Struthio camelus: one gene and its partner. The protein of the gene in region 1 interacts with the protein of each later gene in a pairwise test. Links are inferred from orthologs where the notes say so. Each region holds a gene or a part of one and is shown on either strand. Other genes may lie near its edges.

Region 1 (7,581 bases):
TCTAGTCTTTTTAACCGCTCGCGGCGTTTTGAACGGCCGGGCCCGCGCCAACCCCCCCTCCCCAAAAAAAACACCCGGGTTTTTTTTTTTTTTTCAGCAGGCGGCAGGGCGGGCCGGCAGCGTCGACGCCGCCGGTGAAACCTCCGTTTTTTTGCGGATTTTTTTGTTTTTATATATATATTTTTTGATCTATATATATATATTTTTTTCCCCTCCTGGGGGGACTCACCGGTGGCTCCACGATGGCTTCGTTTCTCTCGGTTTTGGGTTTGTCCTCCTCCGGCGAGGCCGGCTGGGTTTGGCTGGCCTCCTCCATGCGGGCCGGCTGCCCTCCGTCCGCTCGCCGTTCGGGCCGGGGCGGGGGGGCTGCGGTGGCGGGGTGGGGGGGCGGGTGGGAAAAGTGGGTGAAATGAGACAACGAACCAAAATGCGGTGGGGAAAAAAAAAAATGAATTAACGGGGATTATTCGGGCCGCGGGATCACCCGCCAGGCACCGAAATCGGCCGGACGGCCGATTTCGGTGCCTGGCGGGTGATCCCGCGGCGTGGGAAAAGAGTCAGCCTGACCCCCCCCCCCTTTTCCCCGGCGGGGCTCCCCTGCTGCAAATTTTCCAGTTTTACCAAAAAAAAAAAATCACTTTTTTTTTTTTTCCAAAGAAATTTGGGCAAATTGGGAAATTTGGTTTTTCACCCTAGGGAAACTGAGGCAGCGCCTGCTCCGGTAGGGTCGACCCCTGGGGGCTGTGTGGAGGGAGGAAGGGGGTAGCCGGACCCCCCCCTTCCCCTCCGGTGCGATCCGGTACCGGCGCCGCTCACCCGCCGCCGCGCCCGCGCCATGTGACACCCCCGGCGCGCCGCGCCCACCGCCCCGGCCTCCCATTGGGCGGCGCCGCCACGCCCCCCCTCTCCTATTGGAGCGCGCCGCCGCCCGTCCCCCCCCGCCGGGGCACGCCTCTCCCTCCCTGGCGAAGGGCATGCTGGGAGTTGTAGTCCTGCTGGCTGCACCCCCCCCCCCAAAATCCTCCTCCCGGTGGGGTGGGGAGGGGAGGACGCAGGGGCGTGCAAATGTGGGCGCGCGCATTCAGGGGTGTGCATGGCCGGGGGGGGGGGGCGTGCGTGTGCAAGTGGGTACATGCATGTGCAAGTGGGTGCACGCGTGTGCAAGCAGGTACACGTGTGTGCAAGCAGGTGCATGCATGTGCAAGCGGGTACACACGTGTGCAAGCAGGTGCATGTGTGTGCAAGCAGGTGCATGCATGTGCAAGCATGTGCGTGGGGGCCCCCCCCCCTCGGTGGGCGTGCATGCGTGCACACGGGTGCGGACAAGGTGCATGTGTGCCTACTATGGGTGTGCGTGCGGGCGCATGTGCGTGCACCTGCGGCCGCGCGTGCACGGGGCGGCGTGGGGGGGCTGCGCATACACGAGCGCCCGCAGGTCGGGGTGTGCGCCGGGCATCGTTTTGTGCTCAGCCACCTCTAACCGGCCACTGCTTTCGGCCCCCAAAACTGAGTTTTAAACCCCCTCCTCCAAAAAAAAGGGGGTTTTAAAGGGGGTGGGTGCCGGGGTGAGGCAGTTTGCTGCGCTGTGATTTCGCCGGCTCGGATTTGGTGCAGTGCCGGCTTACTGTCAGTGCGAAGAATTAAAAGAACGGCTGACGTTATTTCCTCTCTTTCTGGTTATTGCTGCGAAAGAGCAGGAAACGGGAGCAGTGGCCCCAACGCACCCTTTGAGGGGGGGTCGGGGGAGGGCCAGGGCGCCGCATGCTAGGGGAAAAGCGGCAATTTTGGGTAAACCGCTCAAAGCGGTGGGAAAAAACCGAGGCTTTGCAGCGCCGCCTTGCCCAAGCGCCCAGCGGCTCACCCGAGCCCGCCGGGCCTGAACTGGGCGGCGGGACCTCGCCTCCTGGGAAAGGGGCCAGGAGGGTCCCGGGGGGGACCCGGACCCAAACTGGCTTTTTTGCAGCATTTTTTTCAGGCAGATTCTGCTATTCTCCCCTCCTCGTCCAGGCCTTGGACCCGCTGGGCTCGGCGCTTCCCGGCAGCGCACTACGTTTCCCAGGGCGCCGCGCGGCTTTTGCGAAAAAACGCAGCGGGGTAATTTCTCGTTAGAAAGAGAGCAAAAAAAAAAAAAAAGAAAAAAAAAAGAAAGAAAAGTAGGGGAACAAAAAATAAAGTAAAAAAAAAAAAGCAGCAGAAGAGGAAGAATCAAAGCTTTGAGCGTCATGTCTAGGAATAGCACGGGAGCGCTGCCAAGTCATTACAGCGGATGAGTAATCCACTTAAGTCATTCCTCTAAAGCCCGCTCCTTGTAAGAGAATTAAAATACCGCCTTACATCAGCCAGCGCGGCCCGGGCGGCGGGCGCCGCCGCTGCCCCGGTCCCGGCCCCGGCTCCGGCCCCGGTCCCGGCCCCGGTCCCAGCTCCGGCCCCGGCCCCGGCCCCGGCGGCTCCAGCCCGCCCCGGAGACGGCTTTGTCCGGACCCGGGTGCTGGAGCCCCGGGGGGGGGGTGCTGTTCGGGACCCCCCCACCCTTATAGAGTAAAAAGACCCGTTTCCGCCACCCCCGGAAAGGTTCGTGCCGTCCTCGTCCCGTCCCCGCACTCAGGCAGCACTGCCGCTCCGTGCGTGCGCTGAGTGTGTCGGGCCTCAGCTGCGCGGGGTGTTGGGGGCGGGGGGGGGGGGAAGCGCTCTAGCGGGGCTGAAGCCTGCCGTCAAGTCGTATCCCGAAATCCTTCCCGGTAGCATCCCGAAGCTTTCCCGGTCCGGTCGCCATCGCGAAATTCCTCCCCCCTCTGCCCGGCCCCGGGTCGCCCGAACTCACCGGCTTCAGCGGGCGAGCGGCGGGCGGTGCATCGGCGAGGCCGGAGGAAGAGCGCTGTGGTTTGCTTGTGTTACTTCTATCGGGGATGAAGGGCTGGGGGATGAGTCATCCCCCACTCAGGGAAGTGGCGTGTGTGTGTGTGTGTGTGCGCGCGTGTGTGTGTGTGTGTGTGTGTGCGTGTGTGTGTACATGTGCGCGATTGACTCTTTCGTTACCGGAACGCCCGGACTTTTTGGGGCTCTCGCCGGCGGGGAGCCCGCTGCCTCGCTGAATGAGTGTGCAGGGATTTCCAGCGCGGTTCCCCCCCACCCCGGCCCGGCTGCTCCCGGCCCGGTGCCCCGGCCGGGTCCGTGGCCGCGGCCGCTCCGGTCCCGGTGCCCCGCGGGGACGCGCTGCCGGAGCGGGGCTGCCGCCGGGGCCGGGCCGGGAGCGCGGCTGCGGCGGGCAGCGGGGTCATCCTGACCCTTCAGCACCTCTCGCTTGCACATTGCTTTTCCTTTTTCTTTTTTTTTAATCAATCCCTTTTTGTTTCGCTTTGGACGGCTGGATTATCCCGAGGCAGCGCCGCCGGGCGCTGGCAAGAAAATCATCTCAAACCGGCCATTCGGAGCGGAGATGGACTTATCCGCGGCCAGAGCATCCGTGCCCGGGGCTGGCCGCGGCGCCCAGTGTCCCCAGTGTCCCCAGTGTCGGGGGGGGGGGGGCAGGGGACGTGGCCAGGTCCGAGCTCCCGGCCGGGCTCGCAGAATCCCCCTCCGCCTTGCGCCGGAGCTGCGAAAGAGCCCCAAAAAAAATCCCCCGTGAGTCATCCCGGACCCGGCAGCCGGGGGCGCGGAGGAAGCAGAAGCGGCGGGACAGAGGGACGCGGGGACGGGGCGGGGGGGACGCGGCGGCTGCGCTCGCCGGCTCCGCGGGTGCGCGGCGGGGCGCCGTGGGAAAACCTCGAGCCGCCGGCGGCGGGCGGGGGGGGGGGGGGCAGCGGGAGCCGGCGGGGTTGAGGGGTGCCCCGACGGGCCCCGACGGGCCCCGATGCTGAAACCGGGCGCCGCGCAGGGCAGAGATGAGTGGCGAGGTGTTTCCGACGGCGGCGTTAACCCTTTCGTTACCGGAAAGCGCGCCCGCGAGGCCTGACTCAGAGCTGCCAGTCAGAGCGAGAAAGAGAAATCCCGCCAGTAAACAGCCTCCGGGTCCTCCCGGGCTGGGAAATTCTTCAAGGGACGGTGAGATCGGGCAATATCGATTTGTACAAAAGCTCAGCCTCGGTTTCCCCTAGCACAAAGCGCACCGACCGGCTCCCTGCCGCTTTCCTCCCTCCTGCTCCTCCCGGCAGGGCACAAGGAGCCGCATCCAGCTGGGCAGGAGGGTTTTATAGTTTTTCTTCCCACCCGGCCGGACACTATAATAAATTCCCTTTTGTTGCCCGCATGCCACTAGAGGACAGTGTCAGGCTGGAAATAAATTGCATTTGAGGCCTGTGGGGAGTCAAGCACCCGCAGGGTGGGCGCCAACCCCTTTGGGAAGACGCGTCCTTGCTTTGGACCATGAGGGATAGGAAGGTCCCTCCCAAAAATGTGTTTTCTCCGTGTCTTTGCATGGCCTCTTTCTGGAAGACCTGCTTTAGGGAATGTGAGTTACTGAGCTCAATATACTTTGGTTAGGCAGCAGTCAGGCTAAGTCTGGCTCTGTCATTGGTGTGCTGAAAGGGGGCAGTGCTCAGCCAATGTGTAAAACAGGCAGAGACCCGCTGCTTTGCGGCAGGCTCCGGGCCGCACGGTGGTTTCATCCCACTCCTCTGAAAGCTGGCCAGAGAAATGGGCTGTTTTTCATGGAGGAAAGAGCCACCTCAGCAGGCAAGGAAAGAACAGGGCTGGCCTAAATTCCCCCAAACCCTGAATCTGCCAGAGGCACTCGGTGGTGCAGGATCAGTCTGGTCTCACATCGCATCCAAGGCTGCTTTGAGCTCAGACTAGCGACGTCCTAAAGCCTCTGCAGCCTCGATTATCCTGTGATGCTGCAGGGTCTCCGGCTGCTCCATCCTGGCACGCGGGCTTGCGGCCAGCAGCACCTTATTTTTGGTGCTGAGGGTGTGAGAGGCAGCTCCAGGGCAAGCCTGCAGCCAGGACCTACCGAGGAGGAGAGAAAGGAAAAAAAAGAAAAAAGAAAGGCGGGTGGTCGGAAAGCCCCGGGATGTGCCTGAGCGCACGTGGCAGCGAGCCAGGCCGGCTCGTGAAGATTCGAGGCCGCACTGCTATAACAGTGGCTGATGAGCCGACGGAGAGGTGCAACCCGGCTCCCCGATGGGTCCGCTCGCCCGAGCCGCAGCGCCAGGACGTAACCTCCCTGGTGGGTGCAGGTCCGGTCCCGGTCGATCCGGCTGAATTTCCCCCTGCAGTGATTTTTCCCCCCCCCGCTACTGGGCAGAGAGAGAAGGCCGCAAGGCGCAGTCAAGCCGACGGCTCCTCGCCCCAGCGATGCCTCGGCTGGCCGGGCTGACGGAGGGGGAAGCAACCGGGTCTCTCGCGAGGTGATGACAAGAGCAAAGCCGTACGCAGACACCTCCCTACATGGGTAAATGCTGCCCGATGCATCTGGGTTTAGGTATAAATACAATGCTTTATTTTAAACTGCATGTCTAACTATGTATTATGAAAAGAAAACCATAAACTATATCCCTGTACTTAGGTCCTGGGGGCACAAATAAGCTTTAACAGCCCTGAGCAGCCTCACCTAAAGCTTCACCTGCACCCATGGGTGCAGGGGCTCTATTTAAGCTCAGCTGGAGGCTTTTAGCCTCTATTTAGCTGTGCTGGAGGGTGCTGGTCTCCTGCCTGGCTGCAGCCATGCCTGGCTGTGTCCGCTGCCGAGCCAGCCCTGCTGGGGACCCCGGCGTGCATGCATGTGCACACGTGTGCATGCATGCTGCACTCGCCCAGCGCATCGGCTTGGCGAGGGGACAACTTAGTGGGTGTTTGCGGGAATAAATCCCTTTTAGGGCTTTTGGGCTGCTCCCTGGAGCATGCACCGAGCCAGAAGCCTCCTGCTCATGCTGAGCAAGGCCAGACCATCTGCACGGGCACCTCTGCGGCACCCGGGCTCGCAGCGGCACCTCTGACACGCCTCTCCTCCCCGGCACATCCTGCGCAGCCCTGTTCGAGCCGGCCCCCGTGGCCACCGCCGCCGAGCCCGCTTCCTGCGCGAGCGAGGCAGGAAGAGCGAGAGGTTCCCGGCCGCCCCAGGAGGTCCCCGTCCTCCCTGGATGGAGGTGGCAGCCTGCCCCAGCTCATCTCTTTCCCCCTAAAAACACCTTGCCCCATGGCTTTCTTCCGGCGACTTTTCCGCTTGGGCACGGAGAAGAAGAAGCCAAGGCGCTACCAGCATGTCAGGCGGGACGTCAACCCTGAGGACGCGTGGCTGGTGCTGGGCGAGTTGGGCGACGGCGCCTTCGGCAAGGTCTTCAAGGTAGGCGACGGGGAGCGAAGGGCGAGCGGCCCGGTGCCGCCGGCATCGCAGCTCGGCGCAGGCTTCCCGGCAGTCCGGCCACGGATCAAGCCCGTTCTCCTGGGAAAGAGCTTCAGAAAATGCCTGCAGGACTTTGTTTTGGAAATGGCACCCTAAATGCTTCCTTTTTTCTCCCCTGCAGCCGTGGTCAGTGCCACCTTATAGCCTTATAAGTGACGGTCATCGAACAGCATCCAGCACGCGCTGTGATAAGCTGGAAAGCCTCCAAATTGCCTTGGGTTTTTAGTGGCTCCCTTTGCTGGGAGGGAGAGGGCACACGATGGGGACGCTGGGGACCCCCGTGGCCTTGGGATGCAGCCGGCGGCTGCCTTAGTCCTGTTCGCTGGCACCGAAAGAGCCACCGCTTTCCCGGGGTCAAGCAGCTCCTCGGGCACAGGGCAATCGGGAACGGTCCCTTTCCAGGGTGCAAATGGGTGGCAGGAAGGACCGTTCCCTGGGGTGTTTCTGCATGAGGTTGGTTGGGGTTTGTCCCCTCCCCTCTTTTTTCAGCAGGAGATCCCAGAGCCGGGCACAGCAGGAACGTTTACATCCTTCGTTTTGCCGTGAGTTTGAGACAGGGCTGTTTTTTAATCTCTTGTTGTCACCACAACCGCGATGCAGAGGCTGAGCTCAACAGGAAACCCGCCGTGCTGCTCCCCGGGGCCCGCGGCGCCCCAGCAGCAGCCGCCTTCCGGCTCTGGGGCCCATCGTGCAGAGCCCTGGCGTGGTCGGTGCACTTGTGGCACCGGGAACCCTCCCCAGGCTGGACCTGGCCAAAACCAGCCTCTTGTTTGGGAAAATTTCCCTCTTGGCACCGACTTTGTGGTGGCAGCCATCATCTGTGAACACGTCACGCTTGAAAACCGCAAGGACTTCCTCTAGGTTGGGGAGATGCGCCTGGTCCCCGCCAGCCATGCTCTGGGCTGGGGCAGGGACCCAAAATCCTGGCTCCTGGCCTGGTCTGCTAGAGGAGAGGGGCTATTCCAGGCTCACGATACAAGCCAGGGTCATGGCATGATATAATATCATAATATGGAGCACCCTATCGCGATAGGACGTTTCATTGAAATGTGGCCGGCTAGATCATCTTGCGACGCCACGTATCACGTCACAACGCACCGCAGCACACGACGTAGCGCATGCTTGCAAAACCTTTTTTCCCAACTGCCTTAAACGTCTTTTCTCCAGGCCCAGAACAAGGTGACGGGGGCCCTGGCCGCGGCGAAGGTGATCACCACGCCGAGCGAGGATGAGCTGGAGGA
Region 2 (7,949 bases), on another chromosome or scaffold:
TTATATACATATATATATGTCGTGCAGAGAGACTTCAGAGAAAAAGAAAGTCCATCAACAGAAAAATGAAAGGACTTCCATTCTGCCTAATAGACTTTATAGGTATTCTGTTCATCACAAAGTTCAAAGTATAAACTAAATAGCTTGCTTCGAAATTTCTATGTATAATCTTAGTGAACTAGATGAATTACTTTTATCCATTAATTTTATGAACAAGACAACTATATTATCAAGATGTTAGATCAGGTTCAACACCAGGAACAGTAACTGTTTCCTCAGGTAGTTGAGCTAACTTAGTACAATAAATGTGAACAAAAATAATTTTTTTCCTATTACTGCAATAATAAGAAACCAAAGAAAAATACCAAATATTCTAAGTAAGTCTGGAAAATTAATTGTATTAAATAAGATCTTGGAACAGTTCAACAATGCCAACTCCACTTTCTAGTAAGGAAGTGTTTAGTTGCAGAAAGAGGACTGAAAGTGTTAAAATAGTTCTTTTCTGAATTTCCCAATTTTATTTTTCTCCGATCTTTTAATGCAGGCATTCTTTCCTGTCCTTTCTCTGCAAGTGTGTTTCTCAGCCCACTTAAAATGTTTTTATCTTGCCTTCTTTTCTGTGCCTTTACTATCAAATTCAGTAGGTTTGAACGATGAACAGCTTGACTTAGCATATTTTTAACCAGCTGGTCTAGCACCTAGCTTGTATTGCATAGTCAGATACAACCAAATGTTTATACAGGAGGTAGCTTTCATGAAAATGAAAAAAAAAAAAAAATCTAAGCAACACGCATCCTGGCATTCTTTTATTTACCACTTCAAAATGAAAAGTTTGAATTGTTTATTGCAGCTAAACAAGGGACTATTAATAATGTTTAAAAATCAAGCCGGAGGGAAAGGATGCTGGATCATCAATGGATGTGTGTACAAACGTCTGAGAAAATGCTTCAAAACCTTTTGGAAACACTAGATCGTATGGAAGAAGGACTAAACTCTTGGAGGTCACGAGCCCTTGCCAGTGACAGAAAAAACTTAATTCCAAACATGCAAGGCTCCTGCTTCAGAAAGGGGGAGATGAACGTATATACGTCATAAATCAAAATCCCGCTTTTGACACTTAGCGAGCGAGGCAACAGCTAAAACTTAGAACCAAGAGTTTCACTTTTTCGAAGCCAAAAGGATGTTCTCTTGATGGAGGGCTGGGATGTTAACTTGCCTAAAAATAATCACTTGTGCTAGATCAACAAAAGGTCATGTGCTTTACTGAGCGCCTTCCAAAGTTTTACAGAAGGATCGAATGGGAAGTTAAATCCACCGCTTCCCCCGCCACCAGACATCTTCTGTCACCCTGGAAATCACTCTCGGAGGGCAGGGAGATGCTGACAATGAAGGCACTCCGCACCCAGCATCGCCTCCTGTATTTTAGTGGGCTGATTCAGGGAAAGGTTTGGGGTTGGAGGAGAAAGGGGGGGGGGGGAGCGCAGGGGAAGAGAGGCGAGCGAAAAAAAAACAAACAACAACAAAAAAAAAAAAAAGAGAGAGAGAGGGCACGATAGTGTCCATGAAGATCTCCACTCGGGAGCGGAACAAAGCTGAGTACCGGGGGAGCATCCCCGGCGCGGCGGGGCGCCGGCACGGAGGGTTCCCCTGCCCCACCCCCACCCCCCCCGCGCGCCCGCCTAACTGACACGCGATTTGAATAGCCAAGGTAACGTTCCGCGGGGGGGGGGGGGGGGGGGGGGGGTAAGAAGAAGCATCTCGCCGCCGTGCCGCCGGAGTTGCGTGCCCCTCTCTCGTGTGTGTGTGTGTGTGTGCGTGTGTGTGTGTGTGTGTTATGTGTGCGTGTGCACCGCGGACATCGCCTCGCACACACGCGGGCGAGCGCGCTAACACGCGTACTCAAATTAAACCCCCTCCCCGCAAAAAATAAAAAACCTACAAGACCAAAAAGAAACAGCAAAAAAAAAAAAAAAACCCACACATACACACCCCAAAAAACAAAACACAAACCCGCCCCCCCTTTCTGTTCCCCCCCCCCCCAACTCGACTCACCTTTCAAACTCCTGAGGTAAATCAGGGTCAGTTAGCATGCTGGAAAAGCACAATTTCCCTTTGTCACAGCAGCCACCTATGATCGCCTCCAACTGAACCTGTCAAGTGAGTCCAAACCTTCTAAACCGATTGATTTTCTCTCTCTCTCTTTCTCTCTCTCTGGCTCTCTCTCTCTCTCTCTGAGCTAGGACTCCTTGACCAGTCTCTTAAAGGGGTAGCACACTTCGCAGCAGACTGTTTATAAAGCTCCCCCCACAGCGGAGCAGCGTGCTGCGGCTGCAAGGCACTAGACAACCTCAGGGTGCCTGTCCTTTCCTTTTAATTCTGCTCTCCAGTCACCACAGAATGTGAAAAGTCAACTCATTTAATGCCCTAAAAACGAACAAAAAAAAAAGAAAAGAAAAGAGAAAAAAAAAAAAAGAAAAGGAGCGGAAAAAAGAAAGCCCAACAATCCACCTAAACCCGGCAAACCAGGAGCAAATCCCCTGCGCTGAGGAAGATCAGTGGAGAAAGAAGATAAAACAAGAGCAGACTGATTAAATTGAAACAGTTATCAACTGTCTCTGAGTTGAAATAGGGGAGAAAAAGATTAGACACATAAAAATGTTACCAAAGGCATTTGTACTCGAAAGAATTTTCATTCCTTTCTCTCCCCCCCCCCCTTTTAGTCTCTCTTTCTCTCCCTCTTTCTCTCTCTTTGAGAGAGAGAGAGAAAAAAAAAACACAACAATCAGGCATTGTTCTGAGGGAAGAAAAGCAACTTTGACAGATTGAAATATAGCAGAGGCCCCTTCAAGGAAACCTGTAAACAACTTGTCACTCACTCTGTCGGTCTCACTGTTAGCTCTTGCTTTCCACAAAGTGCTGCGAACCGTCCTGGCAACAAAACCAAAGTTTCCTCAGCTCCAAACTCCATCAAACAGCCCTGTTGTGTGGAAGGGAAAAGGTATCCACATGCCAAGACAGCGTGCGCGCACACGCACACACCCCGCGCTCACACACACACACACACACAGCAAAAATAAACTTTTTGTCTTCTAGGGCTTTTTTGGTTTTAATTCCCTCCCCCTCGAGCAAGCCGAAGGAGTCCCTCAGCTGTGGATCTCTTTAATTTCCTCTGCCCAGACAGCCACAGATAACAAGGTGGACAAACTGTGGTTTGAGAGACACCCCCCCCCCTCCGCCCCCCACCCCTCCTTTAAGCTGGCTGGCAGCACACGGCCTCCATTGCAGTTCCAATTATCTAGATAAAAATCTGGCAGGCGAGGAAGGTAATCAGGTAATGGACCTTTGACATGAAATGACAGAGGCGCACGCACACCCGCGCTCGCACATACACACAGGCAGAGACCGGGGCCGGCCGGTGCACTGCAGCATCTGGTCAAACGGCGCGGCACCCGCACCGCATCCACACGGGCAGGGCAGGGCAGCGCCAACCCTCCACATCACACACACACACACACACACACGCGCGGAGGCAGCGAGGGGAGGCAGAGGGAGACCAGCTCTCCACTCCTACTGGGAGGGCTCAGGCTGCACAAAAGGCGACACCGCAGAGCCCGCCCCGCCGCGGCGGAGCCGGGGGTGGAGGTGGCTGGTGGTGGTGGTGCTGGGGGGGGGAAGGCAAGCGGCTGCGGGGAGCCTGCCGTCGTCGGCAGGGCAGGTCACTGGATTAGGTCTGCTGCGGAGAATCCCACGAGGAAATTCCCTTCAAAGCCCAAGCGATTAACTGGGGGCTATTCTGGAAACGCAGCAGACAATGGCTCAATAGTCTGCACGGCCAATGTCCAGCCTGGCACTGAACTCGCGTTAGGCGCGGGGGGGGGGGGGGGGGAGAAGAAGGAGGGGGGAAAGGAAAGAAAAAAGCAAAAACTAAGTCTGCCTGTTCTTTAACACACACATGCACACACACCCACACACAAGCACATATCTATACTCCATTCTTTCCATTTCCCCAACCCTAATTCCTTTCTCTCTCTCTCTTTTTTTTTTTTTTTTTAATTTGCAGCTGGATAACATTAAGAGCCTTTAAAAACCATGAGGTTTTGACCTCACCACAGTTTGATTAGGTCCACTGCCCCCTCTCTTCCCCACTTACCCCTACCTCCCAGTCACAAGGAGAGAGCAAGTTTACTTTTCAAAATACGTACAAGTGCACGCACACATACTGACACAGAGCGGCCGTAAACCGCTCAACCTTTTCATGCCCACTGGCTTAAAAAAATTCCAAAAAGAAAAGGCTTATTATTTTTTATCAATGTCCAACAGCTCCGCTCTTTAATTTGTTTCTATTTACTCTCAACGCACGTGTGGTAAGACGGCAGGCTCACACAGGGGCCAGTCAGTCCAGCGCGGCGTAAAGGCAGCATCGGCCAGAGCACCGGGATGATCATTTTAATCACAAACAGCAAAGCCACTCGCAAGTTACGCGCATCCTCCCAAAAGAGCACTACACCATTCATGAAGCGAAACACGGCAGCTAAGTTTGCGAAGGCGCCTTCGTTATCGTTCATAAAAGGGTATCCGCGAAGACCGTCTCTCCAGCCTGCCTCACACCCGCGCTCAGAGCGGAGTCGCGCAGAATCTGTCAACTTCTGGCGTGAGGTACATCTAAGGGCTCCTCACCGTGGGGCAGGGTAAACTCGTTTCCTTCGGCAGCCCCTGGCACATCGTATTCGCCACAGAGGTTCATTCACAGCAGACTGACAGACCTAGTTAACGTGGACAAGGATTTTTTATTTTTTTATTTGTGGTTTAGGAGCGAGCCCTTTTAGGATAGCTATGAAATAGACATTGAAAAGGCTGCGGATGATTAAAAAGAACAATTGCAAATACTACTTCTTTCAGCTGAGGGTCTCAAACCATGTTAAGTCTCACATTACTCCTCTGCAGGTAATAAATATAATTAGGGCCTATTCCAAAACTTTATTTGTATTGAAAAGTATCTCGCTCCACAGGGGCTCTTTTCAAATCAGCAAATCTGTGTGGAGTAAGGGGCTGCTCAGTAGGAGAATTTGGCCTCAAATAAGGAAACTAAGATGCAGACAGGTTAAGTAGCTTGCCCATGCCGACACAGTTAGACAACTTCAGCAAAAGGATGAGAAACAAAGATCCCATGTGCCCTGCAGTCGGCAAGAGTCCCTACGCTGCTGAAACACGTTCCTCCCTGTGACCAGAAGTATATTTTAGCTGTTTTTTCTACAAAGGCATGATTTTTACATCTAACTGCTTGGTTAAAACGCACTTCAGAGATTTATTCACACTTTTCAGTATTTGTGAGGCCCCTTTTTCTTGGGCTTTTGTTTTTCTGTTGATGCACCATTGCCCCTCAGTACTTCCAGGATGCTGTTCCTCTCTGCCACTTTTTACTTTACTTCCCTTGCTTCCTCACTTACAGCCTTGGGAGAAGTCTGCAAAGAGAAGCCAGTCAGAAACCCCAGCTAGGGGAAAATGAAGATGACCTTTTAGTCAAAGAATTGGCAACAGTTTTGGCAGAACAGGACTATCACATTTTGACTGCATGTTAACGCCATTCAGCTCTCTTTTCATCTCACCTCTGCTCCGCAACTGCCTTTTTTCCACCACGTCCTTCCATCCTCTGTTCACATGTATTTACCCCTTCCTATGTCACTTCCTATATCAGCGGTAAGATCTTCGGGGCAATGAGGATGTACTCCTCCAAGTTTGTGCACAATGGGGCTCCTTCTTGGCTGGCTCTCAGCTACTATGATTATAAACACGAACAATCACCATCAATATCAGGAAATACGGAACAGGAATTTGACTAAACTAGAAAAAATACAAAGAGCCCTAATAAAGGGCCTAGTCAAAAGCATTCAGAGGAATGGTCTCTACTTCCTTTCTTCCATTTTCCCCTCTCCTTTTCAGCTCCCCCTCTTGCTCAGATATCTTTCAGATTTCTTCCCTTTCCCCCCTCCCCCCCTTACCTTAGTTTATAACATTTACCATTACCCCATTATGCTTTTTGCTAAGCTACCTACCTTATTTTTTCTGCAGCTATTGAGCTCCCTCTCCCAGTTCAGTGGGAGGAAACAGAGTTGGGTCCAACAGGAGAAAAAAAAAAAAAAGTTACTGTTACCATTGTATTTCTAGCTATAAAATTATGTTCTTGTAAGTTCATCTAACTGCAATTGCGAGAGGAAGATAAAGAAGGCCAAACAAATGGTTTTAGAGAATCTTTGAAACCTTCCTACAATCACATTGCGTTAACTTGAAAGACTTGCTTTTTAGAAACAGCAAGGACACATAACAAAGGTTGTTATCACAAAGTGGAAAAACTAACAAATTCAGATAAATGATCACTGACTGAGAAATAAGAAAATGTATGTAATATGCAACTGTCCAAATTTTAACATATGACATTTTACCTTGTCCTGAAACTTTTCACTGGCAATAGCAAGTCTTGATGCCCCTTTTTACTGAGCAGGTCAGTAGTTAGAAAATTCACTTGCGATGCAGATCTATGTCCAATTGTCTTCTCAAATCTGGATATGTAAGTTCAAATATCTTAAACTGATGAGAAAATTGAACCTTTTTTCCCCATTTCTCTTTCCCCACATCTGCTTCCCTTAAGGGTGCCCAACACAAGAAAGTCCAGGTAAAACGAGACAATTTGTGTTGAATTAAACAAAAAAGTTCCGACCTTCATTTAGATGAGGGAAATAAATTCAGCTAAGTATAAAAATTCATGGAAGAGTTTATAATTTGAGTTTTGTTGCTATAGTGGCTCTCCAGTTCAAGAGGTAAACCAAAAAAAAAAAAAAAAATCAATTATCCACCCTGCTCAAGTTAGATATATCTAATATTCCAGAGTTAAGGTATTTCTAATCCACAGGTTTTTATACCTTCATATTGGCGGAAAGAAAAACTTTAAGCTAAACAGAAACAAGTTCTTAAAATCAAATGATAATACTTCAGCCTAGTGCCTTTGGCAGACGCTACAATACAATAAGTGAAGGAAGTGCTGGAAAAAAAAAAGTGAGCTTTGCGGGCTTTGTTGTTTCCACTGTAAGTTTTAATAATAGACACCTACAAAGTCCAAGGAAATGTAAGATGTTCCGCACAATGATTTACTGGAAAATTCTCACAGAAAATATGCAAAACTCCAAAGACCCTTTCTTTTTAAGGCACGTATCCAAAACAACTACAGCATTAAAATTAATCTGTAAAATTTCTAAGAAAGGATGTTTTGGAACAGGTTGAGAGAGAATGGAGGGAGAATGGCGTGGGGTTGATGCATTTATTATGAAGAATATCTTGCAAATAATGAGTGCTTGCTTCAGAGTATGGAAATGTTTAGCTACAATGCAGTTTGGATCATATGCTTAGGAACAGATTTTTCCTTTCAGTGTGCATGCCTAACTGCCATTTCCATTAATGGGAATTAAGTACATGTGTCAAGAGGAGAAGTTAACTCTTAGAAATATAACTAATTTATGCCTTTTTTTTTTTTTAAATGAATGTAAATGCCACATCAGGCATGTTTGGTGTTGGCAAAACTCAGTGCTGAATATAGTATAGCAAAATCTGAGGAGAAGACAGCCTACAGAACTGAAATTCCTGTGCTATTTAGGGTTATTCAATTTACTGTATTTCTTCAAGGAAAAATAAAACCTTCTCATTTGCAAATGGGAAGCCCCAATTTAGCAGCTGTTTACGTGTAATTTCAGCAGTGGCCTATCATCTGCAACCCTCCCTGCAAAAGGGAACTGACACTATCCTAAAGGAGAAATACGAACCTTCAGCTAAAATTTGAATTCAAACTTCCCTAAAAGGTCACTAAACTTTAAAATAAAGATCCTAATCATTTGTTAAAAAATCAAGTTAGCACACTTTGATTCTGTCCACTCCACATTTACCAGAGTAAAGGAACCTCA

What was found.
Region 2: the proteins of ARID5A (region 1) and SOX5 interact in a two-hybrid assay, tested with the Homo sapiens proteins (2 studies listed by BioGRID and IntAct). The two-hybrid records come from large-scale screens. The link is inferred for Struthio camelus from reciprocal best matches to the Homo sapiens genes ARID5A and SOX5.

Annotation. Positions count from the first base shown.
Region 1 is NC_090968.1:1,207,108-1,214,688, reverse strand, and holds the start of ARID5A (AT-rich interactive domain-containing protein 5A), read right to left. Parts: upstream 3,030-7,581; 5' UTR 2,822-3,029; intron 367-2,821; 5' UTR 317-366; coding exon 230-316; intron 1-229. Other genes in the region: STE20-like serine/threonine-protein kinase, read left to right, coding at 5,714-6,280, 7,508-7,581. UniProt on the Homo sapiens protein: DNA-binding protein that may regulate transcription and act as a repressor by binding to AT-rich stretches in the promoter region of target genes.
Region 2 is NC_090942.1:74,910,252-74,918,200, reverse strand, and holds the start of SOX5 (transcription factor SOX-5), read right to left. Parts: upstream 3,098-7,949; 5' UTR 2,969-3,097; coding exon 2,877-2,968; intron 2,388-2,876; exon of another isoform or gene 2,091-2,387; coding exon of another isoform or gene 2,053-2,090; intron 1-2,052.